Macaca fascicularis: one gene and its partners. The protein of the gene in region 4 interacts with the protein of the main gene of each other region in a biochemical or structural test. Links are inferred from orthologs where the notes say so. Each region holds a gene or a part of one and is shown on either strand. Other genes may lie near its edges.

Evidence for each region.
Region 1: of the proteins of PTPN6 (region 4) and ROS1, one has a biochemical effect on the other in vitro, tested with the Homo sapiens proteins (2 studies listed by BioGRID and IntAct). The link is inferred for Macaca fascicularis from reciprocal best matches to the Homo sapiens genes PTPN6 and ROS1.
Region 2: the proteins of PTPN6 (region 4) and KIT form a complex in vitro, tested with the Homo sapiens proteins (2 studies listed by BioGRID). The link is inferred for Macaca fascicularis from reciprocal best matches to the Homo sapiens genes PTPN6 and KIT.
Region 3: of the proteins of PTPN6 (region 4) and SYK, one has a biochemical effect on the other in vitro, tested with the Homo sapiens proteins (2 studies listed by BioGRID). The link is inferred for Macaca fascicularis from reciprocal best matches to the Homo sapiens genes PTPN6 and SYK.
Region 5: of the proteins of PTPN6 (region 4) and LCK, one has a biochemical effect on the other in vitro, tested with the Homo sapiens proteins (4 studies listed by BioGRID and IntAct, with this or other methods). The link is inferred for Macaca fascicularis from reciprocal best matches to the Homo sapiens genes PTPN6 and LCK.
Region 6: the proteins of PTPN6 (region 4) and PDGFRB form a complex in vitro, tested with the Homo sapiens proteins (2 studies listed by BioGRID and IntAct, with this or other methods). The link is inferred for Macaca fascicularis from reciprocal best matches to the Homo sapiens genes PTPN6 and PDGFRB.
Region 7: of the proteins of PTPN6 (region 4) and SRC, one has a biochemical effect on the other in vitro, tested with the Homo sapiens proteins (2 studies listed by BioGRID). The link is inferred for Macaca fascicularis from reciprocal best matches to the Homo sapiens genes PTPN6 and SRC.

The regions. Positions count from the first base shown.
Region 1 is NC_088378.1:21,377,708-21,381,577, forward strand, and holds part of ROS1 (proto-oncogene tyrosine-protein kinase ROS), read right to left. Parts: intron 3,064-3,870; coding exon 3,019-3,063; intron 876-3,018; coding exon 816-875; intron 1-815. UniProt on the Homo sapiens protein: Receptor tyrosine kinase (RTK) that plays a role in epithelial cell differentiation and regionalization of the proximal epididymal epithelium. NELL2 is an endogenous ligand for ROS1.
Region 2 is NC_088379.1:79,244,169-79,248,828, forward strand, and holds the start of KIT (mast/stem cell growth factor receptor Kit), read right to left. Parts: upstream 3,058-4,660; 5' UTR 3,000-3,057; coding exon 2,933-2,999; intron 1-2,932. UniProt on the Homo sapiens protein: Tyrosine-protein kinase that acts as a cell-surface receptor for the cytokine KITLG/SCF and plays an essential role in the regulation of cell survival and proliferation, hematopoiesis, stem cell maintenance, gametogenesis, mast cell development, migration and function, and in melanogenesis.
Region 3 is NC_088389.1:121,172,960-121,176,829, forward strand, and holds part of SYK (tyrosine-protein kinase SYK), read left to right. Parts: intron 1-2,398; coding exon 2,399-2,608; intron 2,609-3,581; coding exon 3,582-3,771; intron 3,772-3,870. UniProt on the Homo sapiens protein: Non-receptor tyrosine kinase which mediates signal transduction downstream of a variety of transmembrane receptors including classical immunoreceptors like the B-cell receptor (BCR).
Region 4 is NC_088385.1:7,890,376-7,894,245, forward strand, and holds part of PTPN6 (tyrosine-protein phosphatase non-receptor type 6), read left to right. Parts: intron 1-727; exon of another isoform or gene 728-884; coding exon of another isoform or gene 885-892; intron 893-980; coding exon 981-1,103; intron 1,104-1,361; coding exon 1,362-1,556; intron 1,557-3,870. UniProt on the Homo sapiens protein: Tyrosine phosphatase enzyme that plays important roles in controlling immune signaling pathways and fundamental physiological processes such as hematopoiesis.
Region 5 is NC_088375.1:202,771,302-202,775,776, forward strand, and holds the start of LCK (tyrosine-protein kinase Lck), read right to left. Parts: upstream 2,936-4,475; 5' UTR 2,828-2,935; intron 1-2,827. UniProt on the Homo sapiens protein: Non-receptor tyrosine-protein kinase that plays an essential role in the selection and maturation of developing T-cells in the thymus and in the function of mature T-cells. Plays a key role in T-cell antigen receptor (TCR)-linked signal transduction pathways.
Region 6 is NC_088380.1:157,000,053-157,002,737, reverse strand, and holds part of PDGFRB (platelet-derived growth factor receptor beta), read left to right. Parts: coding exon 1-135; intron 136-440; coding exon 441-1,014; 3' UTR 1,015-2,094; coding exon of another isoform or gene 2,095-2,278; 3' UTR 2,279-2,685. UniProt on the Homo sapiens protein: Tyrosine-protein kinase that acts as a cell-surface receptor for homodimeric PDGFB and PDGFD and for heterodimers formed by PDGFA and PDGFB, and plays an essential role in the regulation of embryonic development, cell proliferation, survival, differentiation, chemotaxis and migration.
Region 7 is NC_088384.1:93,506,545-93,510,414, forward strand, and holds part of SRC (proto-oncogene tyrosine-protein kinase Src), read left to right. Parts: intron 1-926; coding exon 927-1,076; intron 1,077-2,450; coding exon 2,451-2,606; intron 2,607-3,870. UniProt on the Homo sapiens protein: Non-receptor protein tyrosine kinase which is activated following engagement of many different classes of cellular receptors including immune response receptors, integrins and other adhesion receptors, receptor protein tyrosine kinases, G protein-coupled receptors as well as cytokine receptors.

The DNA of each region.
Region 1 (3,870 bases), on a different chromosome or scaffold from region 4:
TAACAACCCTGACGTGAACAACCTAAATAAGGGAACCCACTTTTAAAAGGCAAAATTCTTAATCATGTGATCAGAGTAGTTACAGCATGACAGGCTCTATCTTTAGGAGAAAGATTCTCTTATTATCCTAAAATGGATAAGGAATGTAAAGTACCAAGGGGTTAAGTGCCTTAAATTACACACTGAGTGGCAAAAGCCAGGCTACATAATAAAATGAAAAATAAAGTATCTGGGGATGTATTTCCTACATAAAGTGGAATAAACCAGGTGTTTGTGGCCCTGAATTAGATACCTACCATATTTTCTACATAGAAACTTTGAACATAACCTACGACCCTGGTGTCCAAAATGTGGTCTGGGAACCACCAGCATTTCAACACTTGGGAGCTTGTTACAAGCGCAGCATCTCAGGGCCCACCCAAGACCTACTGAATCAGAATCAGCATTTTAATAAGATCCCAGATAATTGCACATTAAAATTTGAGAAGCATAGGCCTAGGAAATTTAACAAATACCGAACATTCCACTACAAGACATTTATAGTTTTGGAGCAATTGAGCATTCCTGGGTTCTGTGATTTGCAATAACCTTCCATGACCTCTAGTTGCATTAAAAATGTTAATCTCAATCTCTTTTCCATTACTGTGTATTATCTAGGCTATCGGTTTTTCAGTTTTGTTTTGTTTTGTTTTGCTTTGTCTTGGGGTCAAGCAAACTAGTTGAAAGCCAATGGAAATGCAAATGGGAATTCTCTTACACAACTTTCCTCTTGAAAGAAACACCAGTATCAAAATAGAAATCTAATTAATACTTACACACTTTAAAGCACAGTTTTTCTGATCTACAGAGTTCCAAAAGTGACATCCTTGGATGCACTGCAAGAGACAATAACAGACAATGGTGAGTGATTGAAGAAATGTGACTTTTTCTTGTTACCTGAAAGTACAATGTAGTAACAAAAAGCATCACCCTGTGTTTTAGAAATAGAAATCTACCAAGAAACCTGAGGCCTCCAAAGGATCTGGAATTTTGGGATTCCAAACAGAGCTGTCATATCTACAGGTAGAACAAGGCTTGTGGCTCACTGCAGAGCAGCAGAGTTGCTGAGTGGAGTTAAGCCTGGCATGGGCAGGCCTAGAAGCCAGAGAACAGCCAACCTTCAAGGAAGACACTGTACACTGGGTAGCTGTCAAAGGTAAAGCCCAGGACAATGTGGCATTGAGTATATCCTGGGTCCCTAAGGTGTCCTCACATATCAAGCAAAACTCAAAACTGGAGATGCAACCAGATGGTGGCATGTCAAAACCTCAATAGGTAGACAGTTTGGGGAGTAAGCTGCCTACTAGCAGCTTTCACCCCATAGCTGCCCTGAAAACCCTGAGTTGCCCTGACCTGCTATTGGACAGATTTGACACATTTTTTCTTACCTTACTTGATTCAGCTGTGCCTGTCTTGACCATTCCTTCCACAGGCCATGGTGGCACCTGGATTCCTTTTTCTTCCTGCTCAGCCTCCTTTGCCATCTCTTTTTGCCTCTCTCCACCCCTTTGGTGTTTGTGTTCTATCCTCAGCTTTTTCTCCCCTCACTCTTCTAGTTCTCCTGGAGCGAGTTCATCCCCTACCTCAGCTTCAAGTGATCTCGATGTTGATATCCCCCAAACTTCTAACTGCAGCTGAGGCTCCTTCCTGAGCCCCAGACCCAGATATCCACTGGTTCATTAGATGTCTCCATTTAAGTTCCTACAAGCACTTCAAATTCATCATGTGGAATTCAATTCCTCACTTTCGACCTTTAAATTTGCTCTTTCTCCTGTGTTTCCCATTAACATGCTACATTCTCCTGAGTTGTCCAAGCCAGGAACCAGGGTGTCTTCTTCTCTCACCCCACTCTCCCCTCTCACGGAAAACCCATCACCAAGTCCTATTGACTTCTCTGGTCATTAACTAAAATCCATCTGGGTTCATCACTCACTGCCTCAATTTTCTGCTTTGCCATTAACCACTTGCCAAAAACCTTAGGGGAGGACCCCTCTTGTTCCCACATTTGGAGTGACTTTAAAAAAAAAAAATCGGGCCACACTCTTCTCTTACCTAAAATTCTATATGTCTCTCCATCACCTTGTGAGTTAAGACCAACTTAGCAAGCATAGCAGACAAAGCCCTTCATGATCTGGCTCCATGTAACTTGGCAATTGGTCTTCCACCTCCCTACCCTCTATACATGTACCCCGTTTTCCAAGCAAGCTGAAATACTCAGTTTCCTTAACAACTTAGGCTACTTCACACCTTTGTGACACAAAGGGCTTTCTTGACACAAAGGGCCTTCTCTGATCAATATGCCTTTTCCCATCTAGTCCATCTGGAAAACGCTTCCTCTTTCTAGTTTTAGTTTGAAGGCTTTGCAGGCAAGTGAGGTGCCTTTTACTCTTGTGTATTCTCCCTTCACTCCTCACCCACACCACAATTCTGGTTCTGATGATGCTGCCTGGCCCTAATTTTATGCATATGTCTATCTCTCTGGTTTCAAGCATGTATCTCAAAAAGGTTGAGAGTCCTTTTAAACAGAGGCCCTATTTTTTTTCATTGTTAAATTTCTAGTTCCTGGCACAGTGCCTTGTGCATACTTATACCTTAAGTCACTAAACACTTGGTAAACAAATGAATACATGTGCAGAACAGTAATAAAACCATACAACGTAACTGTTAGAAGAAATATTAGAGATGATCTCAAATAACACATAATAAAACTAAATCTCAGAAAAATTAAGTAATTAGTCCAAAGCCACACAGTTATATAGAAACAATATCATGCACTTGGATTGGTCCTGTGCTGTTTCCACTTCAACACACTTCATTTTTATATAAATTCGGACTTCTCATTATTTTCAATTGTTCTTCTTCCAGCAAGGATAAATGAGATTTTACTTAGCAATTCTTACTGTGATAAAACTTGATCATCGTCCCTTCATTATCAACACAAACATTGTAAAATTCTTGACAATTGAAGAAATTACTTACCGGTTCACTCAGATTATGTGGTGTGCCAAGGTCAAGCTGCTGGCCCTGAAACGAAGAAGGAGGTAGTAAACACCAGCTATCAGTACTGGGTTCCGTGTAACTAACACACCTTTTTAAAAAGCTTCCTGAAATAACGTTCTCCTCAGCATTTTGTAACGTAAAGTAAGGAGCCAAATGTTTTAAAGGCATTAAATTCATCACTACCAGACAAATTATAGATATAACGCAAATTATAGATACAATGTCTAAGAACTTTGCAGGAACCAAAAAGGTGTGAGTAAGAGTGTGGCTATAGAGAGAGAGTCTCACGCAGAATTAAATAATCCTGCGGCATTGGTCAGTTAATCTAGTCAAAGGACTCCTAGGTTAGTGATGAATTGTGTTCAGACTTTTCCTTTTTAAAATTAAGGGCAGAGAGAAAATGCAAATTGGTATAAATAAAACATAAGATTACTCTTTTATTGCTCACATACAAATTTTAAGAACTTTTTTATACTGGAGGAAAATAAAAGAAATGGGAACTAAGGACAAAGATCTATAAATTGCTCATTATCTCTCTGGTCATAATTTGAATAGAGTCCTTCATAAACAAGACAGTTTATAAAGGATGGCAATACTGGGCCATCACATAATCAGATAAGTACCCACATAGTGTTCCATGCTTGGTAGAGAGAAGAGAGCTGCATTCTGTCACTGAGCTCACCGAGCTCACTGAGCATGCTCCTCCTTTCCATCCATTTGGCTCTTCACTCCATCCTCAGCAGCTAGAACACTGCCTGATAGAAATAGGTGTTCAATAAATACTGATATGCTAAAGGAGTAAACCCACTAATTCCAAGTGGTTTCCCACAT
Region 2 (4,660 bases), on a different chromosome or scaffold from region 4:
CCCCTTTCATAAGACACCCAATTCTAAATATTTTTCACCAAAATTGGGAAGGCAGTGACATTGGCCATTCTGCATTCCCAGAACTTCCAACAATCCCTGGCACATAGTAAAAACTCATTAAATATTTTTGAATGAGTCTTACTACAGATTCCGGTGAATCATGTGAATGGTTATAGAGCTGGGCACATAGAGCCAATCTCATCAGGCTTCACCACTGATGACTTGGCGCTTATCCTTAGCCAGTTTCTCCAGCTGTAAAATGTTAGGGGTAATAATAATACTACTTCCTAGGCTCATTGAGACTAGCGGAAATAGCAGGTAAAGCCCCAAGCAACAGGCCTGGCACACAGTTTCCAACTGAAGAGCAACAACTATGTATAACACACATGTCATACAAAATTTAAGGCCCATTAGAAAGCATGTTATAAATGCACAGCATACATGATTTAGAGAGTCATGAGGAAAAAATATGGGGATGAGTGGGGGAAAAAACAGAATAGGGATAAATGAATTATCTGGGATATTTATTTGGGATATTTCCAGCAGGAAAATAATTTAGACTGCCTTGCGTCCAGCTGCTGAGAATGACTCCAGCCTCACACCTGCAGGAATGAAGCGGGGAAGGTATGATTCACCATTCCTTGCAGCTTCATCCTGTTAGGCACAGGAGCTGTAATAATGGGGTGGTGGTGGGGGAGAAGAATGACGGTTAGGACAAAGTGGGCACCTCCTAGCCCTCAAAGGGCAATACAGAGAAATATATGGGAATTGAGGGGTGGGAAGCATAAGCCACAGCTCCTTGCTGCAGCCAGGGGCAGACGGTCAGATGCACCCATACTCCATGAGGTCCCCGTGAGCAGGAGAGGCAGAGGAATTTCAAGGTGGCAGACAGGGACCAGGGGAATAGTTGAAAAGAGTGCTGAGTCTACACTCAGCACATTGGAAAATTCTGGACCCAAAGGATCCTTCATGATGCAGATGCCTCCTTGTACTCTGGAGGACACTGGGTTCCCCAGAATTTAAGCAACCTGCCTTAAGCAACCTGCCCAAGGGCACGCAGCCAAGAAATGGCAGAGAAAAGGAGAACCCAGGGGACAGATCAAGGCTTTGTCGTTACACCACACTGCCCCCCCAGGAGACAGACTTAAAATTCCCTTTGCCAAAAATCTTTTGGGAAGAAGAAAACCATTGATTCTTTTAATTTTGTAAAAGGGAGATATTCGATGTGGTCTTTCTAGTCTCCTACTGGGGTCTAGTTCACATACCTTAACTGATATTAAAAAGGTCAAGGCACAAAAACATAAAGACCAGATGTGTTGTTTTAAGCTAGGTGATCAAATCCTCCAGGGAATCTGAACACTCCCTCGTGACCCCTGCTGACCCCTCCTGCTGCACAGGGGTCCAGATGCAAGGCCTCTCTGCCCCCACAGGAAAGCCCTCACAATAGTTACAAGACCAGGACGCGGGAGACTGCGCCTGGAGACTTTATAGAGAAACTGACCAGTAGTAGACAGTCTCACAACCGTTCATTGCGCCGCTTCCTTTCAAGCGCTTGATTCCAGCTAAGACTCACTTTCTATCCTTACACCATCAAGGTAACCTTAAAGGTTTGTTTTAAAAATGACCTGGGAGAGAGCAGTGCTTCAGGAGTGAGCTGGGCGACCTGCACTCGCGCGCACCAGCGACACCTGGAAAAAAGGGAACGAGAGGCAGAAATCTGACCGAGGGGCTCCAGCAGCCGGCAAATCCTTCACCTAAGACCCAAGTTCCCGCGCGGATATATCTGGTTTTTTGTTATAGCTTTAAGAACTGAGTAGGATTTGCAGAAAGTTCCACTCCATCTCCCACCCCACCCCCAGGCAGCCCTGAAGTATAGATGTCCCCTCCCCGGGGACAGGGAGGCGGGCGGTCACTAATCTCAAAAATTTCCGAAGAAAACAGGACCTGCGAATACAGGTCGCAGATACCGGGACTACGGGCTTCCAGAGCCCGCCAGGCAGGCCGGGCACACTGGCCGGCGTGCTAGGCAGCCGGGATCAGGGCACGCATAGTCCCAGCACGCTGTCCCTTGCCTTCCCGGAGCAGGCGGCAAACGCAGCCTCCAGCCGCCCCGGGGCGCGTGGCAGGAATGAAACGGCGCCGCGGCCGAAAGGGACGAGCACAGGATATACGAAAGCAAAAAGTCTGCAACCTAGCGGCTGCTTTCCACACGCCCTGCCCAAGTTGTCCCCGTACACACCACCTCCAGGCTCGCGGGAGTCCGGCCCCACAGCCACACGCCGCGCACTCCCAGAGCAAAACCCTAACCCGGAGGCGGGGAAATCCGCAGGCTTCGATTCGTCTCCACGGGTGGCGCCGTGAGCAGAGGCGGCAGCGGGTCGGTCCCCAGCTCTGGGCACAAAGAGCGCCTGCGGTTGGAAGGCAGCAGCCGCAGAGGAGAGAAAGGGCTCTCTAACTTTGCCCTCCGCGCGGCGGAGAACCTGCAGGCAGGTCCTCCTGGGCACCGGTCACACACACGCAACTTTTAACAAAAGGAAGCTGCGGCCGCGCCTCGCACAGCGAGAGAAGGCGCTCGGTGGGAACCCCTGAGCCCCTCGCCTCCGCCCCCCGCGCAACCTCGGCACAAAAGCCACCCCAAACTCGCACGCAGCCTGCAACCTCGCTCACGCCTAACCTCCCCTCGCTGTCCCCATTCCCGAGGAACCCCGGCTTCGCGTCCCCACCACTAGCAGCTGGGGTCTCCTCGCGCAGGTGAGCGAGGCAAGGCGCAGGAGAGTCCGAGGGACACCTGGAGTCTCCCCCGGAGACTGGAACGCACAGGCACTGAGGGCCCGCAGTCCTCTCTCCGGATGCACTCCGGCGTGTACCACCCTCCCGGGCACAGGCTTCGCCGAGGAGTCGCACGGTCGGGGTGCCAGCCGCGGTGACCCACCTGTCTGGACGTGGAGCAGGAAGAGCAGAACGCAGAGAAAATCCCAGGCGCCGCGAGCGCCTCTCATCGCGGTGGCTGCGCTGGGATCCGAGCTCTGGTCCACGTTCCAGCTCTCGCCCAAGTGCAGCGAGCGCGGCAAAGCCGAGCCCCCAGAGCCGTGAGCGCCGAGCAGCAGCCCCTCCTCCCAGCGCCCTCCCTCTGCGCGCCGGCCACGCCCCTCCTCGCCTCCCCTCCCTCGCGCCCGCCCGGGTCTCGCTCCTTCCCGGCGGCGTCTGGCCCCTGCTCTTTCGACGTGTTAATGCCGGGGGGCTGTGCCCGCGGGGAGGAGGAGGGCGCGCGCGCGCCCTAGCTCCCAGCTCTTGACCCCGGAGCCCCTTTCTCTCTCCACCTCTCCACCCCTGGGATGTGGTCGGCCCGCCCGAGGCCGTTCCCGGACCAAAGAGGTGCTGCCCGCTCGCTTTGTGAAGCTGGGCACCACGCGCACGTTAGGGCACGGGCCCGCCACCTGCCAGGTGCTCCCCAGACAATAAAGGACGGCTGCCCGTCCCTCGAGCACGTTCGGGCGGGAGGAGGCTGGACGCCGCTGCTGGTGGAGGTGACACGGGGATGGGGAGGGGAGCGTTAGGAAATTGAGCCCCGACATTACCCTCCAGGCCTGTTAGGAGCGCGTGGCACCGCGGTAAAGGCTGAGCCCGGCTTAGCTAATTGTTTCTGCTCAGTTTCTCCACCTGCTTCGTAACCTGTAAGAATACAGTGGGTTCCTATTGGTCGGCGTGGCCTCCGCCCAAGAAGCCCCTGCCGGGACTTGTGTGGAGATTGGGGCGGTGAAGTGGGGAGGGGCGCGTTGCAAAGTTTGCTCTGGGAGCCCAGGTTTTCATACACATTTCCCCCTCTCCCCCCAACGCTGCCAACCCCAGTAATGATTTATCTGCCTCTGTATCAGACGACAGTTTTAGGGCTAGGGATCCCTGTGTCCCTCTTAACTGCCCTTGCCGGTCCCAGGAGCAGAATAAAAGTACAATGATTCTCTTAAGCCAGATTTCACTGCCCGGAAAGTGCTTTATCCACAGTCTCATGGTGGATCCTTGAACGGAAAGCAACACGGTATCTGTATAGGGGTTAATAGTTCTTCCCCACACCGACTCTTCTTTTCATGCTCACCATAACAGCTTTGTGAGGAGGGTAGAGCAGGTATGTTTATTATTGTAGTGAGGGAAGACCCAGGGCTTGAACCCTTATTTGAAGACCTACTCCAAGAAAGATGAGCTTTCCCTATGGATTCTGATAAACTAAAAAGACATCCCTCCTGAGAGCTTAAGAATGGAAAATAAGTGGCAGATGCCCATGAGAAAAAGGGATAGAACAGATACACCTAGACTCTTCTCTGAAGTATCATCCAAAATTTATAGTTGCCCAGCTGCCCCACTCCATTTAATGTTGAAAGCTCTCCTGTTGTTTAATAGTGTGAGGACCCAGGTTGACGTAAGAAAAATGATTTTTAAAGTTAATCACTTAAAAATTATCAGTACTAGAGGATGATCAAATGATCAATGTGTATAATTGCCTCTCTTTAAATGTAAGTATTTATTCACTCAGCAAGCATTTATTTAGTGTCTGCTGTGGAGCAACGAGGAGCTAGGTACCAGGAGTACTATTATTAATAGACAGATAAGCAGATGTGGCCCCTGCCCTCACAGTCCTTATAATCAAGTATGGGGACCTACATCC
Region 3 (3,870 bases), on a different chromosome or scaffold from region 4:
CAAGAGGTCAAGGCTGCAGTGAGCCATGATTGCATCACTGCACTACAGCCTCAGTGACAAAGCAAGGCCCTGTCTCAAAAACAAAGAGAAAAGAAAAGAAGAAAAACATCATATTTGTATAATACCATCCCAACACTACTACTGTTAACTAAACACTACTGTTAATTAACCTTATAGTATATATTTTTAGATCTTTAGTTGTACACACACGTATTACTTAATTAAAATAAAATCATTCCATTATAACAATACAGTGTTTACATTTATTTTCTTTAATTTTATGTTATGTCTCGTTTTTCTTACTGTGAAAATTGTTGATTCCAAATATGATTAGTATAATTATTTATTGGCTTTATCCTATGATTTCAAATAACAATACATATTATACAACAGTTAAAATTGCTAAATTTCTAAAATATCTTTGGTTTTTTTTTTTTTTTGGTCTTTAGAAAGTATCCAACATGGAATGTACAAGTAAAAATACTGGTTTCTAAAGTCCTTTGAAACACACCCTCTCTTTGAATTGGTATGATACTAATATGAATGTGGTTGGATTTAGTAGCTTCATGGTATTTCAAATTTAAGGAATTTTTGTAAAAAAAAAATGTATGAGTAGGTAATTTATATGATTCAAGTAGGTTAAAAATATAGACAAAAGTATACACAGACATACATGCTTTTCGGCCAGGTGCCGTGGCTCACACCTGTAATCCCAGCACGTTAGGAGTCCAAGGCAGGTGGATCACCTGAGGTCTGGAGTTCGAAACCAGCCTGACCAACATGGTAGAACCTTGTCTCTACTAAAAATACAAAAAATTAGCTGGGTGTGGTGGTGCACACCTGTAGTCCCAACTACTCAGGAGGCTGAGACAGGAGAATCACTGGAACCTGGAGGAAGAGGTTGCAGTGAGGCAAGATCACACTGTTGTACTCCAGCCTGGGCAACAAGAGTAAAACTCTGTCGAAAGGGAGGAAGGAAGGAAGGAAGAGATGAAGGGAAGGAAGGGAAGGAAGGAAGGAAGGAGAGAGAAAGAAAAGAGGGAGGAAGGGAGGGAAGGAGGGAAGGAGGGAAGGAAGGAAGGAAGGAAGGAAGGAAGGAAGGAAGGAAGGAAGGAAGGAAGGAAGGAGAAATGCTTGCTTTCCAATCTGTCCCTTCCATTTGTTTTTGTGCATGTGCATCTCTGTGTATAAACATATATACATATATACACACACAGATACACATACATGTATATACGTATACACACACAAACATACACACCCATGTATACATTCACAAGTATATACATAAGCACATGTATACACACAATCAAAATTGGTTGTGATACTTATTTTAAAATATATTTGTATATCACCGTCATTTTGTACAATGAACAAAAATGTTTCTGTGTTAATCATAAGCTTTTTCAGTTTGTGAAAGGTTGTGATCTTTATTCTCTGCTTAAATTTGTGAATTAACATAGACATGACGGTGGACATAATTTCAACTAGAGAGTTTGGGGAGAGGAGAGGCTCTCTCGGTCAATTTTGCAAAAGTATGTCTTTACAATACTGAGTCTTTCAATCTATAAACACAGCCCATCCCCGCATTTACTAGGTCTTCTTCAGCCTCTCTCAGGAGAGTTGTTTACCTCTTCAAAGCATTACATTTAAATGTATCCTTTTAAATTCTGCACCTAGAAATTCACTTTCAGCGTTTATGAAAGGCATTTTATATTCACATTCATTACACGTAATCTGAGATGGTGAATCCCAAGATGTTACAGGAATTTGTGCATGTCATCGTTGGTGAGGTTTATTTACAAGTTATTTAAATATTTTACAGTTTAGGGTTTTTGCTTGGTTGGGACGTTCTTCAGTACTGTTCTTCACCATTCTTTTTATTTTATTTTATTTTTTAGAAACAGGGTTTCCCTCTGTCATCCAGTCTAGAGTGAAGTGGCAAGAAACTCACTGCAGCCTTGAACTCCTGAGTCCAAGTGATTCTCCCACCTCAGCCTCCTAAGCAGCTGGGACTACAGGCTTGCACTGTCACGTCTAGCTGATTTTTTTTAGAGATGGGGTTTCACTATGTTGCCCAGGCTGATCTTGAACTTCTGGCCTCAAGCAATCCTCCCCCTTCAACCTCCCAAAGTGTTGGGATTATCAGCATAAGCCACCATGCCCAGCCCCCACCATTCTTTTTTAGTAATGGGGCATTACTCTCATTGTCTGTAAAATTAGGGAATATAGGTTGGAAGGCCAGCCATCCATTACAGGCTTCTGAAGACACATTGTCACTCTGTGGCAGGTATTTCCATGGGACTGGTTCCACGCGGGGATTATGCTTCACAGGAGAAGATTATCTAGAAGCCAGGCGTTTCAGAAAGTTTCTTGTGTGTTATGATTTCTCTTGCAGAGTTGTGAAAACAGTGGCTGTGAAAATTCTGAAAAACGAGGCCAATGACCCCGCTCTTAAAGACGAGTTATTAGCAGAAGCAAATGTCATGCAGCAGCTGGACAACCCGTACATCGTGCGCATGATCGGGATATGCGAGGCCGAGTCCTGGATGCTGGTTATGGAGATGGCAGAACTTGGTCCCCTCAATAAGTATTTGCAGCAGAACAGGTATTGTCAGGTGCCCCCACAGGTCTGGAAGCTCTCCCCTAAGGGACAGGGCCCACCACTGGATGGGCTGAGCAGCCTGATTTCCGTGGAAGCCTTCCCACCCTCCTGTGCCTTCCCTTATTGGTCCATACTCAGGGACCTTGACAGAGGGAAAAAGGGAGACTCAGTCTTTGGATTCAGCTCTGTTAGCTCTAGTTGTTCAGAGAAGAACTCATTCGACAGTTTTGTCTTTCTTTTCTTTCTGTACTCATTCAGTCTTGGCCTAGTGATAGACTCAGCCTCAGAATATCTTGACAGGGAATCTCCTTTCTCACTGGGAAGAACACATTCTTTTTAAAGAAACATTTAAAATAAGTGCTTTTCTAAGAGGTGACAGTTATGTTTTATCTGGCTGACCTTATGTCCTCATGAATAATGACTTCTGAAAATATCAGTCGCTGCTAATTGATTACATCCATCAAGGGAGTAATCGTGTTCTCATCTAAAGCTGTTGTTGAGATGAGGAAACTCACTTGGCGTAAGACAGAATGATGGCTACTGAGGAGCTTGCTTTGTTTGCTGTGCTATGTTTGTACTTAGGTTGTCTCTTTAGTCTCCATGGAAGGGAGGTGTTCTTACCCTTTATAGGTGAGAAACTGAGACTCAGGGTTAGTTCTGTGACCTGTGCAATACTGGAACAAGGATTTAAGGTGGTGCCTGGCTGTCTGTGAACCAGGCCTCACCACTCTGTTATACTGCTTGTCTTGCAATTCCAAGCATGCCAGGAAACTCAATCCCATTGAACACCAGGAGAATATGGCATTCAGTCCTGAAGAGTTATATGCTAACAAAGTTATTTGTCACCACTTGTGAGTTTTGTTGTTTAAGAAGAGGGAAGGAGTAGATTCACCTACTGCCTGCATGAGGAGCATGGTTGTTTGTTGTGAAATGGGTCACTGTCGGTTATAGCTGATGAGATCGTTGTGACTTTCAGACATGTCAAGGATAAGAACATCATAGAACTGGTTCATCAGGTTTCCATGGGCATGAAGTATCTGGAGGAGTGCAATTTTGTGCACAGAGATCTGGCCGCAAGAAATGTGTTGCTAGTTACTCAACATTATGCCAAGATCAGTGATTTCGGACTTTCCAAAGCACTGCGTGCTGATGAAAACTACTACAAGGTAAGTACAACTTAGCTAATATTCAGAGCAGCTGGTGGTAAAAAATGCAAGATAAATGTATGTTTTCTTTATTTTACTATTGGTATGGTTTTAAAAAGC
Region 4 (3,870 bases):
TACAGAAGTGCACCCTTCTCTCTTGCAAGCACTGGCAAGGTCTTAACTATCAGTCTCCCGCTCCCATGGCAGCCCCTTTGCACAAGGAGGCTCTTAATCTCTGTTCTTTGAAGCCCTGAGGGCTGGTGTATAGGAGTTCAAAGCATTGGCTTTGGAACCGGCCTGTCTGGGTTTGAATCCTGGCACTGCAGCTGACTCACTGAGGGACTCAGGCAATGCCTTACCCTTCCTGAGCCTCAGGTTCCTTGTCTGTGAGATGATAAAGATAGCCCCTATTTCATAGGGCTGTGGTGAGAAATCAATCAGATGAGGCATGTGAACGCCATTATAGCACAGCACCCGGCATCCAGCAGGACTCACTCGCTGACAGCTGTCACCGCCATCATTGTCATTAGCGTGGGCCAGGGAGGGCTGTGTAAAAGCAGCTGGTGGAGGAGGAAGAGATGCCGTGTGAGCGTCTCGGTTCACATGCATGAAGTATGATCTGGGCCTGGAGTGTGCAGTGCACACGTGTGTCCTTACTGCATGTGTTGTCACATGTGTGCAATGCCATGCTCCTAAGCCTTTGATTGCAGACGTGTGGGAAGTGGGCCCCGTCCCCACCCCCAGTGCCACCGTGCTCTGCTTCTCTTCCCTTGCTCTGCTCTAAAACGAGAAGTGCAAGTGAGTTCCCCCAAGGGGTCGGCCGCGCCTCTTCCTGTCCCCGCCCTGCCGGCCGCCCCAGGCCAGTGGAGTGGCAGCCCCAGAACTGGGACCACCAGGGGTGGTGAAGCGGCCTGGCACTGGGAGCTGCATTTGAGGCTTAGTCCCTGAGTTCTCCGCCTGCCCAGACTAGCTGCACCTCCTCATTCCCTGCGCCCCCTTCCTCTCCGGAAGCCCCCAGGATGGTGAGGTAAGGGCCTGCCACCCACGGTAGACAGGAGGCAAGGGTGCCTGGTGCCCACGGGACCCCTCCTCACTGCCCTGCCTGGGCCGCCCAGGTGGTTTCACCGAGACCTCAGTGGGCTGGATGCAGAGACCCTGCTCAAGGGCCGAGGTGTCCATGGCAGCTTCCTGGCTCGGCCCAGTCGCAAGAACCAGGGTGACTTCTCGCTCTCTGTCAGGTAGGTGCCCCCACCCCCGGTGTTTTGGCCACTGTCTTGTGCCATCCAGGCCCTGAACCACTCATTCCTGGTTCCCCGTGGCAGTGCCGACTCCCCGACCCCCACGTCCCGTCTGTGCCCTCGCGCCCCACCCCCGCCCTCCCCACCCCTGTCTGTGCCCACCCATGCCCATGTGTGCCCCCACCCAGGACCTCAGCCGATCCCTGCCCTCCTGCTTTACTCCTGCACCGACTGGCCTCACCGCCTGGTGCCCTGCAGGGTGGGGGATCAGGTGACCCATATTCGGATCCAGAACTCAGGGGATTTCTATGACCTGTATGGAGGGGAGAAGTTCGCGACGCTGACAGAGCTGGTGGAGTACTACACTCAGCAGCAGGGCGTCCTGCAAGACCGCGACGGCACCATCATCCACCTCAAGTACCCGCTGAACTGCTCCGATCCCACCAGTGAGAGGTGAGGCCTCTGTACCCCCGTCACTCGCAAGCAGGGGTGAGTCGGCTCCCGCCCTGAGCGGCCAGGGAGACAGGGAGCCTGGCACCCGGCACTGCCTGCCCTCCATCCCCTCCCCTCCCCGCACCGGCTGGGGCTCTCAGTGTCCCTCCTTCATGCTGTCCTGTGGCCTGGTGTCTCAGAGCCTAACCTACCACCCTTTCCACCTAACCCCGAGGAAGCCAGAGAAAGCTGCCTTGCCCTATACCAGGGGCCCTGGCCGCTGCAGCCCAGGTCCCACTAGACACAGGGAGGCCACTGCTGGTGGCCAGCATATCGTGCCGGCCAGCTCTGTTGTTAGAAAGCTCTTCTTCCTCTGGAAGCCAGCCTGCCCTCCTCCGTCTGCCTCTCACCCCAGTGCATGTTAGGACAGTGAGGAGCTGACACTGCGGATGAGGATGGGGATGAACGGTTGCCAGGACACTTGACACCTTGTCCCAGCCGCCCAGTGGGGATGGGTCTGTCCTGTGGGGTCAAATACAGAGATCACTGAAAGCAGGATGTGAAGTGTTCACCTGTGTAAAGGGTCTCGCACTGTCCCAGGCACAGAATAATACTCCAGGCATTTCCTTCCTGTGCCCTCCTCGACTCCTCCTGTGGTCTTCCAAAGGCATGGATGGGGGGCTGGGGAGCTTTGAACACTCCTCAGGACACCATAGCTCCTTTCAGCAGCCACATCTCAATGCCAGATCCTCTTAAAGGGCAGCGGAATAACGCTAGGGGGTTTTCACACGGACCCCTGGGCCAAGCCGACTTGCCCTTGCCCTGCATTCGTGGATCGATTGTTGAAATGATTGGGAAACTTGCTTCTGCCAGCTTGCAGCCTTTCTTAGATTCGGGCCTCCAAACTGCATCAATATTTTTGGTCAAGTCACTGATTGAAACTTAGAGCTGGATTCGGTCGCGGTGCAGCCCTGTGGCCCACCTGGGAGGCCTCCTTTCCTGGATCTGCCTCCTTCAAGGCCTTCCTCATCTGAGCCTCACATGGCTGGCTCTATGTCTGCCCCCTGCCCTTCCTCTTCCCCACTGCAACACTCAGGGGGCTTCTGCCAGCGAGACCCTCTAAAGCTCATGTCCTCTGTTTCTCCTTGCCTCAAGCTAGGAGGAGGAGGACGGGCTGACCAGTGCCTAGAGTTGGAAGAGAGGAGCAGGGCCCCAGGAGGCCCCTGCAGAGGAGGCTGAGGCCTGGGTTCAAAGAGAAGAGAGAGAAGGAAGGGAGGGCAGTGCTGGGGCAGGAGGTTAAGACCGGGGAAGCCACACTGAAGGCCCTTTTGGGTGACCCATCCCAGGAGCCAGTGTCACCCCCGAACCTGGGAGTGTGTGAGAGACTTTCTCCCAGGTTCTGCTGTGTCCCCTGCCTTGTCTGTGGCACCTCCTTCTCTGCGGGAATTTGCATCTGTCCCTCGGTGGCTCTGCGCTTCCTGTGGTCAGCCTGACATTTGCATGGAGACTTCCTCATCCTGGGGCCCAAGGGAAGGGGCTCAGCCCCCTCCCTGCTGCCTGGGGTCCTAGCCTGTCCCCAGGTGGTGGGCTGAAGTGGCCTAATGGGGTATGGAGGCTCTGGGGGGTCTCTCGGCTGGAGTCACCTCTGGGCAGGGGTGAGATGGGTTGGGACAGACTGGTCCTCCCCTCTTCCCCCCATCCCTGCGGTTGGAAAATTTGCCCGCCCTCCCCTTGTCCCTGGGCTGAGGAAACCTCACAACCTCACTTCTCACTCTCTCCCCAGAAGGAGTTTTGTGTTTTTTCCATCACGTGGTTTCCTGTGGGGCAGGGCATTGTGGGGCTACAGTTTCCTCCTGGGAAAGGGGTGTGCTTTGGGGAAAGGGCTTAGTTCTGCTTTCTGCCCCGACAGCCCCTTTGAATCCCTTTGAACCCTTTTGAACCCTGGGCTCCCCTTCAGTGACATCATCCAGGGCACCCCAGAGCCCCCTACACCACTCTTTCCCTGGTGGGGTTGTCCTCCCCGCCTCCCTGGGGGAGCGCACCCCATTGGCCTTCCTTGTGACTTGTGTCTCTCTGTCCATCTCCCACCACTCCCTGTGGTGTGGCCTTGGTCTGTGTTTCTCTTTGCCTCTGGTCTCTGCCGGGGCACAGCCTGATCCTTCATGGAGACTCTTCCTTAGTTTCCCTCTTCCAAATATTTGGAATATTGCCAGCCCTTCTGCCTTTCAGAGGTGGTCTCTGGGTTCAAAGCCTGGTCAGAATTCTGGGGGCTAAGATAGCTTGAGCCTGGGAGGTCAAGGCTGCAGAGAGCAATAACCGTGCCCCTGCACTCCAG
Region 5 (4,475 bases), on a different chromosome or scaffold from region 4:
TGTCACCCAGGCCAGAGTGCAGTGGAGCGATCATAGCTCACTGCAGCCTCGAACCCCTAGCTCCAGATACTTTAAAATCAACACTGAGGTTGATTGTTAAGAGGCCACATTACTGGATGGTACCTTGGTCCTACCTGCTCCTCACCCCCCACCCCACCCCACCCCACTGAGAATTACTTTCACTGAATTGAGCTTGGCCTTGAAGCCATCAGCTTGGGTGTGTGCCTGGAGTTATAGGATATAGTCTGTGTTTTATGTGTAGTCCCTGCCCTGCTTCTGAACACATCTGTACACATACATTTTCCTATAATATGTATGGTGTTTTGGCTTGTGTGTGTGTGTGTCTGTGTGTGGCTGTGTGAGAGACCCTCTTCTAAAGCAGATCCCATGGCCCTGCTCAGAGTCCAGCCTGCTTGAGTTCTCACACCCCTCACACTATATACAGGAAGCAGGCTGATTTGCAAAGCCACACCACAAATGTGAGGGAATGGGTGGTTCACTGGCCTGCCAAGCTGCTGAGTGGGCGTAATTTGGGTGTGGACAGCCCTCCTTTTGGTGCATCATTTGCAGGGGGAGGGAGTGCCTCACTTCCCTTGAACACCTACTATGTGCCGGCCAGGTGCAGTGGCTCACGCCTGTAATCCCAGCACTTTGGGAGGCCGAGGTGGGCGGATCACAAGGTCAGGAGATCGAAACCATCCTGGCCAATATGGTGAAACCCCATCTCTACTAAAAATGCAAAAATTAGCTAGGCGTGGTGGCGCACCTGTAATCCTAGCACTTGGGAGGCTGAGGCAGGAGAATCGCCTGAACCCAGGAGGCATTTTTGTTTGAGACGGAGTTTCAATCTGTTGCCTAGGCTGGAGTGCAATGACTTGATCTCTGCTCACTACAACCTGCACCTCCTGGGTTCAAGCGATTCTGCCTCAGCCCCCTGAGTAGCTGGGATTACAGGCACCTGCCACTGCCACCACGCCTGGCTAATTTTGCATTTTTAGTGAAGACAGGGTTTCACCATGTTGGCCAGCCTGGTCTCAAGCTCCTGGCCTCAAGTGATCTGCCCGCCTCAGCCTCGCAAAGTGCTGGGATTACAGGTGTGAGCCACCGCGCCCAGCTTGATTATTGCCTCTTTACAGGTAAGTAAACTGAAGTTCAGAGAGAGATGAAGCCACTTGCTCAAGGACATGGTAGAGCGGAATTGTGACTGGGTCGGCCTGTCTCTGAAATGCATGTTCTCTGCCCCACACCACATCTGTGGGCTCTCTTGCCTTTGGTCTTGCTCTGAGGTCTCTGGCCTCGTGGTACCCAAGGAACAGAATCCAGGGATAGTGACCTTGGCTTCATATCCTAGGCACTCTCGAAAATGGGTCTTTCTCCTTCTCAGAACTGTCTTGACTCTGGCAGGAAGCTTTCCAGATCTTAAGAAATGCCTTCTCCCCTCCTCTGAACCAACCCTCAGCCTGTTGTCAGCCCCTGTCCACTTGGCCCTTCTCTCTTTGAGAAGAGCCTCTGTTCCTGGGGCCCAAGAGCAAGGGACCCTGTTTGATTCATCTGTCATAGGGCTGGGTGGAAGGAACTGCTCATGCCTGTCCAGGGTGAATGACCCTCCCTGAAGCGCGGGGAGAGCCACCATGTTCCCTAGCCCCCACAAGAGACTACAGGACTCGGAGCTGTAGATAGGAGAAAGGCTGGGACCTGCTGACTAGGCGGAAAGTGTGTGTCAAGAAAAACTCCAACGAAGCAGGGGAAACCTGGAAATCTGGCTGAGTGGGGACTCCCCCAAAAAATTAAGGCTCAGAGTTAAAAAGTGAGGAGGTGAGCAGGTAGCAACTATGCCTCCCCAATCTCTCTCCACCTCCCTGGGGTTTGAAGCAGGAATCAGCAAAACCAACTGGCCCTACACAGGCAGGGCTGAAGCCGGAGGGAGCCAGGGGCGAGGGGAGGACATCCTGCTGTGACGCTTGGCAGGGGCAGGAATGGTGACTTTCCAGATGGGAGTTCAGCGCTTCCTCACCCAGGGCCAACTGCACCCCTGTCTGGGATAAAAATAGTACTTCCTCTTCCTTTCTCCCATCATTCTCTTTCACTCCCAACCTCCCAGACTCAGATCAGATATGTCCATCCACCCTGGAGCTCCATCCCGGGTGATGGACACCCCCACACATATTAGTCCACGCCCATCAGGAGACTCTTCCCTCGATCACTGAGGATAAAATCACTCCTCGCATGTCCATCTGGATGCCCTGGGTGATCTCTCTCTCTCTCTCTCTCTCTCTCTCTCTGTCTCTCTCTCAGGAGATTCTTGTCACTGGGGTCTGTCCCAGAAACCAGAAGGATTCCTGGGTCCTCTGAGTCCAACCTGTCCATCACCCTGCTCCAGGCGGGGTGGTCACAGCCTCGGACATCACTCTCTCAGTGGCAGTGGCCCAGCCCTGCCACTGCCTTGCTGAGAAACCATAGGCAGTGAGTGCCTTGTTATCTCTGGGCCTCAGGAGCCTCATCCTCATGGCATGAGGGACTGGATTTGGTGGTTTCTGGAAGCCTTTTTAACACCTGACTGTCCATGTGCCTGGTCTCCAGGAAACATGGTCCCAGTGAGGTGGGGCTGCTGGTGGACAGCACGGCAGAGGCAAGCGCCACCAGCTTCGCAGGAAAGAGGCAACCCAGCGACACTGCCTGCCTCCCACTTGACCTTGAGCGAGGATCTTCTCTCCCCAGCCACAAAGGGCTGCTGTGTCCCTAGGGAGCCTGGGCCCGCGTAACCGCAGCCGTCTGCTATCAGGCCTCTCACCCCAGTGCCTGCGCCCCCAGTACCAGCGCTCCTTACCTGCCCAGCCCGGGAGCCCTCTGGTCCCATTCACATGGTCCTCCTGGCCTAAGTTGGCTGCCTGGACAGTCTCAGCTCCCTTCACCGTCGTAGCCACCACCTGTCTCCTCGCGCCCACGTCCCACCCTGACTTCCTGCCTCCTCCCGAGGGCTCCGCAGCCAACCGGGCCCCAGCAGCCCAACCACAACCCTCTAGCACCCCAAGCTTCCTGCCACCATAGACCCCCGCCTCTCAGCCCTTGGGGGTCCCCTACATCTCCAGGCCAGGCCCTACTTCCCCTACTGTCCCAGGGCGACACTGGGAGGTTTAAAGTTGAGGGGAGGATGTCTGATAGACCCTCCCTTCTGCCCTCCAGAGTGCATCTGGGCAGGAGATTCAAGGGCAGCCTTTGGGCCCAGGGAGCAGGGGGCAAGCAGACACACACTCAGCTTACGGTGAGAGGCAAGCAGCACCGCAGCACCACTGTTGCAGCTGAGAGACCCTTTTGTTTCTATCTGGCAGCAAAGGTAGCATCATTCAGAGTCAGAGGAGAGGACAATATCCCTGTTAAATAGCTGGTGAGCAGACCACGCATGTTACAGTCAGGTCAGGCCAAGAGAACAATTCCCATGTCATCTCGGAGCATGGGACAGTGGCTTTATTATAGTCAAGGGTAGGTGAATGGTAGGCTACCATCCCTCTTACAGACAGAGTGCTGGAAAACAGCCTGTTTCAGGAGGCAGACAGGAGGACAACCTCATGTCTCCAAGAGGGCATCGTAACGGCCCCTGCTGTAGTCAGAGGCCAGGACAACACCCACTAATCATGGTCGGAGAGTAGGGCAACACTTTGAATTCAGGTAGAGGCAAGGTCACAGCCCCTGGCAGAGGTGAAGGGCTTGGCACTATCTCCTGCAACAGGTGGATGACAGAGCAAACAGGGCCGCTCAGGCCCCCAGGTGCAGGCCACAGACAGTCAGGACTTTCTGTTATAAGCAGGAGGCAAGAAGATCCTCACGAGCAGCAGGCAGGCAAAGAATTTCCATTTCCCCTGGGGCCAGGCTGAGGGGGCGCCCATCATTAGCTGAGGGCCAGGTCACCAGTGATATGAGGAACGCCAGGTGGCCTCATCGGGTCCGAGAACCCAGCCTTGACCCCCGCAGGAGGAAAGTGCACATGCGTCACTGCCTGAGTGAGCTGGTGGGGGGAGGGGAACCCACAGAGCATTGTTGGGGTTTGTGAGGTGGAAGCGATGCTGTGTGCACCTCAGCTGCGGAGAGAAGGGGGGGCAGGAAATGGGTGGGGGGAAGAGGAAGCCTGAGTTGGAAAGTCAGACAAAGAGGGTAACACAAGAAACAAAGGCTGAGAGAGACAAAGTTGAAAAACCTTCACAGTGACACAGAGCCTAGAGTTGGAGCTCCAGGTGCAGGGCCCAGACTCCGTTGCAATGTAAGCCTGAACACTTCACAGTCCATCTCCGGGTCTCAGCACAGAGTAGAAAGACAGCAGCTGGGAGTAATAGTTCACATTCACTGAGTGCTCACTGTGCACTATTTCCCTTAAGGCACATCCGCTGCCTGTGGAGTGAGAATCAGCACCTCCATTGTGGAGGTGAGGAAATAGACTCAGGGGTTAAGGGAGCTCCTCAGGGTCTAATAGAAATAAACGG
Region 6 (2,685 bases), on a different chromosome or scaffold from region 4:
CCTGGACAGCAGCTCCGTCCTCTATACCGCCGTGCAGCCCAATGAGGGTGACAACGACTATATCATCCCCCTGCCTGACCCCAAACCCGAGGTTGCTGACGAGGGCCCACTGGAGGGTTCCCCCAGCCTAGCCAGGTAACCACTGTGGCCTGGGGCCAAGGATATCGTGTGTGTGTGTGTGTGTGTGTGTGTGTGTGTGTGTGTGTGTGTGTGTTTGCCTGCATGCGTGCTGTCAGGCTTGCCTCAGAGGTAAGTTACCTAGGGTAAGTACTTATCCCTAACAACAAATAAAAGAGAGAATGGAACTCATTTGAACTTTGATGCCCTGAGGTGGAAAGGGCAGGTTAGTAAAAACAAAAGTATGGGCTGGGAATTATTTGCAAGGTAGCTATTTCCTTTAAGGGAGCCCCCAGAGGTTATCTATACTCTCTCATCTCTAGGTCCTGTCCTAGCCCCAAGGAGAAGAAGCAAACCTACTTAGCATCCCCAGCACCCCAGTTGTTACTCATGGCCAGCCAGAGGCCTATGTTCTGTTCTTCAGCACCATGCCCTGGGGCTGGAGAGAGCCTCCAGGGCTGCAGGAGTCAGAGGCGCCTACAGGAATTCAGGACAGAATTCAGATTGGGAAGGAGATTGTGGTTTTCTTTTGCCTTGGGAAGTGGTGAAGTTACAGCTCAGCGGGGGCTTTATAGGAGGACCCTGCTGTTGTGGGGACTTGATGTCCACATAGGATCTCCCCTTAACTGGAGAGAAGGGCTCCTCATGAGGCCACGCCCACCTCCAAAGCAAGATCCAGCCCAAGGTGAAGTGGCTGGAGCCCCAGGCTGGGGTACTGTCCCAACTCTGCCACTAGCCGCTATGAGACCTGGGAAGGCTTTTCCTCTGAGAGCCTCAGTTTCTCCATATGTGCCAGGGGTGCACACAGGCCTTAGAAGGCTCCCAAAGGCCCTCATTGCTCTAACTGTTGAAGAGACGAATCATCCAAGAGTTCCAGTGGATGGCGCAGAGGAGTGAAGTGCAGCTCTCCTACAGCTTGAGGTGTGAACGCAGAGGAGTGAAGTGCAGCTCTCCCACAGCTTGAGGTGTGAACGCAGAGGAGTGAAGTGCAGCTCTCCCACAGCTTGAGGTGTGAACGCAGAGGAGTGAAGTGCAGCTCTCCCACAGCTTGAGGTGTGAACGCAGAGGAGTGAAGTGCAGCTCTCCCACAGCTTGAGGTGTGAACGCAGAGGAGTGAAGTGCAGCTCTCCCACAGCTTGAGGTGTGAACGCAGAGGAGTGAAGTGCAGCTCTCCCACAGCTTGAGGTGTGAACGCAGAGGAGTGAAGTGCAGATCTCCCATAGCTTGAGGTGTGAATGCTCGCCCTGTTTTGTGCCCTCAGACAAGCTGCTTCACTGTGTAAACACTGGTGTCCTCTTCTTTTTTTTTTTTTTTTGAGATGGAGTTGCACTCTTCTTGCCCAGGCTGGAGTGCAGTGGTGCGATCTCGGCTCACCGCAACCTCCGCCCCCCGGTTCAAGCAGTTCTCCTGCCTCAGCCTCCCGAGTAGCTAGAATTACAGGCATGGAGCATCACACCCGGCTAATTTTGTATTTTTAGTAGAGACGGGGTTTCTCCGTGTTGAGGCTGGTCTCGAACCCCTGACCTCAGGTGATCTACCCGCCTCGGCCTCCCAAAGTGCTGGGATTTCAGGCGTGAGCCACCGCACTCGGCCGGTGTCCTCTTCTATAAAATATAAACAGTAAAAGTACTTCTATTAGGCAGTCATTGCAAGGATTAAATGAGATAGCATACACCTTTAGGGGTGCAGAGGAGGCAGATGCTAGTGGGTGAGAAATGAGCTTTGGAGCCAGCCAACCCTGCTCTGAAGTTCCAGCTCCTGCACTTCCCTGCTGTGTGAAGTGGGGCAGTGACATAACCTCTCTGAACCACACTTTCCTCACGGTGCAGGCATTGCATAGTTTTCACAAGAGTTAAATGAGCCGGAGTGTGTGAAGCCCATGGTGCAGGGGCAGACACACCGAAGGCTCTTCATGACTGCTGCTGTAATCCTCCTGGGCTCCTTCCTAGCCTGTCACTCACTGCCTCCTTCCTCTAGCTCCACCCTGAATGAAGTCAACACCTCCTCGACCATCTCCTGTGACAGCCCTCTGGAGCCCCAGGAGGAACCAGAGCCAGAGCCCCAGCTTGAGCGCCAGGTGGAACCAGAGCCAGAGCTGGAACAGCTGCCGGATTCAGGGTGCCCCGCGCCTCGAGCGGAAGCAGAGGACAGCTTCCTGTAGGGGGCTGGCCCCCACCCTGCCCTGCCCAAAGCTTCCCCTCTGCCAGTACCCAGCACCTCCTGGCCTGGCCGGGCCTCCTGTCAGCCAGGCTGCCCTTATCAGCTGTCCCCTTCTGGAAGCTTTCTGCTCCTGACGTGTTGTGCCCCAAACCCTGGGGCTGGCTTAGGAGGCAAGAAAACTGCAGGGGCCACGACTAGCCCTGTGCCTCCAGGGAGGCTAACTGACTCTGAGCCAGGGTTCCGCCCAGGGGACTCCGTTTTCCCATATGTAAGATGGTAAAGTTGGGCTTGATGCCCAGAATCTAGGATTCTCTCCCTGGCTGATAGGTAGGGAGGTCAAATCCCTCCCTGGAAAGATTCTTGGGGTTATTGAGGTGGTAAATTAACTTTTTTCTGTTCAGCCGGCTA
Region 7 (3,870 bases), on a different chromosome or scaffold from region 4:
CTTCTGTACACTGGGATCGTAACCTCCTCCTGAAGATTGCAAAGGGGAGGTCTGTGGGCTAGGAGGGCTCGGCTTCCCCCATGCCTATGCACTGCCTGGCCAGGCTCCTGGGAAGGCCGTTCCTGGCCGCTGGAGCCTCTGCCCTTGCCTCCAGGGCTCAGCCTTGTTCCCTGATGCCATTTGGGCGTCTCTTGGCCTCTGGTCCTACCTGGGCCTGCTGGATGGGAGGAAACTTTTCTGGCCAAAAGCTTTTCTAGGCTCAAGAGAAAGAGGGGAGGCACCAGGGCTGGCCCTGCTTGACCCAGGCAGCCTTCAGGCCACACCCAGCCAGTGGTCTCCTGCCCACGACAGCCAGCCTCTGCCAACCACCCCCTCCCGCCTGACCCTGGGCCTGTCTTTAGAAAGGAGGTGGGTGGGGGACACGGACAGTGCCCCCGTGAGCCGATCCAGAGAGGGAAAGCAGTTAGGCCAGGGCCACACAGCAACAGGGAGCCACTCACAGGCTCCCAGCAAACAGTTATTGAGTGCCTGCTGTGTGCCTGGCCCTTTTATATGTGGTGGCATGGAATCTCCCCAGCAGCCCTGGGAGCACCCGCATTGTGCAGAGGAGGAAACTGAGGCCCAGAGAGAGCCAGTAACCCCTCCAAGTTCCATAGCTAGGATGCCCACCTGAGATATGGGGGTCTTGCTGGGGCCAAGGGTGCGTGGCAGGACGTTCCAATCAAGTGTCTCTTGGGTCCCTTGGCCCTACCTCTGTGGCTGCCCCGGGGCTGGCTGTTGAGAGACAGGGTGGGCCGCGGGCCCCGCCTGGGCCTCCCTTCCCTCCAATGTCAGGCAGGCACAGAACGGTGTCCAGAGCAGCGCTGAGTGCTGCGGCCTGTGGGAGAGAGGGCGTGGCGGTCACGGCTCCCCTCTGTGCCCTGCAGGTGCCTACTGCCTCTCAGTGTCCGACTTCGACAACGCCAAGGGCCTCAACGTGAAGCACTACAAGATCCGCAAGCTGGACAGCGGCGGCTTCTACATCACCTCCCGCACCCAGTTCAACAGCCTGCAGCAGCTGGTGGCCTACTACTCCAGTGAGCCAGCCTCGGAGGGCGGGCGGGCAGAGCCTCAGCTGCAGACCCTGGGGAGGGGCTTTGGAGCCTAGAAGGGTGGGGTCTTCTGTTATCCTGTGATGCCAGGTTTCCTGCTCCCCTCCCCACTTTCTCCCTCCCCCTTCCCTTCCTCTCTCCTCCGTTTTCCCTACTTTCCTCCGTCTCCTTCTTCTTCCTCTTCTTTCCCCCGACCCGCTCCTCCCAGTCCCCGTCTCTCCCTGCTCCTGCTCTGCAGCTGGCTGGTATGGAGGGGGCTGCCCTGAGGAGCCCAAGAGTGAGCTGGAAGGGAGGGGACGGAGGCTGGTGTCATTTGTCTATGTAGCCCTAGGACCGGTCTGAACCGGTTGCTGGGAGAGGAGGAGGGGGCGGCCAGATCGATTGCAGCAGAGACGGAGAGAGCGGCAGAGGGAGCTCGCGGGGCTTGCGTGCTGGGTGAGGGCTCGGGCGTGGGCGCAGTGCTGTAGCCCACCCACCTGGGCGTCCGGAGCTGACTGCAGTGTCGGGGCCTGTGGGTGCCTGTGGGTACCTGTGTGCCCATGTGTCTGTGGCACGCGTGGCCTCTGTGTGCAGGTGTTGGTCCACTTCCCACCCCAAGTCTCCTCCTCCTCTCAGCTCGGCCTCCTGACTTCCTCTGGGATCACCCACCACGCTCTTGTCTCTTCGGCCACCGCTGTGTGGCTCATGCTGAACCCCGTTCCCTCAGATCAGAACTCTCCAGGGGCTGTCTTGGAATCTTGGGATAAAGACCCCCACCAGCCCCCAAGTGGTCTAATCCCAGCTGCCTCCCCACCTCCGCCTGGTGCCGCCCTTCCCCACCTGCTCCCTGCAGCTCCTTTTGCCTCCGCTTCTTCAGCCCTGCAGCTATTCTTTCCTCAGAGCCTTTGCTCTGGCTGTGCCCCTGCCTGGAGGGCTCTTCCCTGCTTAACCCCTCACCCTCCTGCACATCCAAGCTCAGTTGCTGCTTCCTCCAGGAAGCCTCCCAGGACCCTCCTGCTGTTGCGCGAACAGCTCTCCTCCAGTCACATTCATGTCTGTGGTCCTGGGAGGTGATTAGGGAATTGAGGCTCCTCCCTGGACTCCGAGTTCCTGAGGGTAGATTCCCTGGACGTGTTCCCCGCAGGGTCCCTGGCACCCCCTACTGTCTGCTGAATGACTGACTCAGCAGATGCATAAAGCACTGTGGGCCTGTGTGGGGGTGGGACTGTGTGCACATAGATGTAGATGCCTGGCTTTGAGGGCGCCCTGGGTGTCTCCTGAAATCTGCGTGCATCTGGCATGTAGGGTGACACACACTGAGGGGCAGGGAGGCCCCAGGGCAGAAGCCCCCCCTAACTGCTCCTCTTGCCTCCTCCTCAGAACACGCCGATGGCCTGTGCCACCGCCTCACCACTGTGTGCCCCACATCCAAGCCTCAGACTCAGGGCCTGGCCAAGGATGCCTGGGAGATCCCTCGGGAGTCACTGCGGCTGGAGGTCAAGCTGGGCCAGGGCTGCTTTGGCGAGGTGTGGATGGGTAAGGCCTGGCCCCTGCCCTCGGGAGAGGCATCCATCCCCCACCCCGTGTGGCAGCTCTGGGCTCTGTTGGTCCCTTTGCCTTTAGCTGCCTCTGCTGGACGACGGGGCCCTGTTGTAAATCTGGAGCCCCCCAGCGGTGGCTGGCACCGAGTTGGGATGTGGCCCCCCAAGTGCTGTGCCCCAGACCGTGTAAACCATAGCACCTGATTCCAAGATCCGCACAGGGCTGGGCATTGCACAGACCTGCTGTGTAGGCTGGGCCCGGTGGCCTCACTCGGAGTCTCAGTCTTCCTGACTATGAATGGGGCTGGTGACAGTGGGACCTATGGGAGGCTGTGGAGGCCATGGCCCAGTGCTTGTCCACACACCAGCTGTTAGCCATGGAGAGAGAAGCCTGGCTCGTGGGAGGAGGTGCTGGGAAGCTTAGTTCTGGCATGGTCTGAGCCTGTTAGTGATTTCCTGTCTAACCCTGGAGAAACAGCAAAGCATGAGCACCGTGCAGCCCTGACAAAACCCAGGCCCCTTGTCCACCGGTTGCTTTCTGCTCACACAGAGGGACCAGAGGCCAGGGTGGAGGTGGGACAGCACTTGTAAGCCCGTAAGCCCATGGTGCTAGCGGGGATCACGGTGTGCTGTTTTCAAGGTGGTTTCATCTGAGCCGCATCTCCGCTCAGTCCCACTGCCTCCACTCTCCACCCTCCAGAGTGCTGATGGAGGACAGCAGAGAGGCCTCCTGGGTGGAAGGCACTGCAGGGACAGAGGCCTGGAGGCTGGAGGTCAGGCCGTCTGGAAGGGGGAGGCGTGGGCTTTGAGCTGGTGAGAGGGGAGAGGGGTGAGAAGCCAGGGTGTGAGCACAGCCACAAAGTGAGGACTTGAGCGAAACCTGGGTGAATGCACAGCGTCAGCCATTCTGGTGGCTGCAAAACTCATTTCTGGCTTTGGTGAGTGGTGATGACCCTGGGAAGGGCCTCACTTCCTCCCTGGGTGCTCCAGGTCGACTCATGAAGTGCCACATGCAGATGGCTTGAGCCAGGAGGACCACAGAGGTGGGCCTGAGCCCTAACCCTCGGAGAGAGGCCCAGTGACTGGGAGGAATGGGCCCAAGGTCACACAGCAAAGGAACCTTGAGTCCTGCTGGCACAAGAACCTGGATTAAACATGCTGGTCTAGAATACAGCTTCCCCCAGAGCCCCCAGTTAGAAAAGCAGATAGTAGTGAAACGATAACCGCATTACTTACTGAGCCCTCACGGTGGGGCTGGC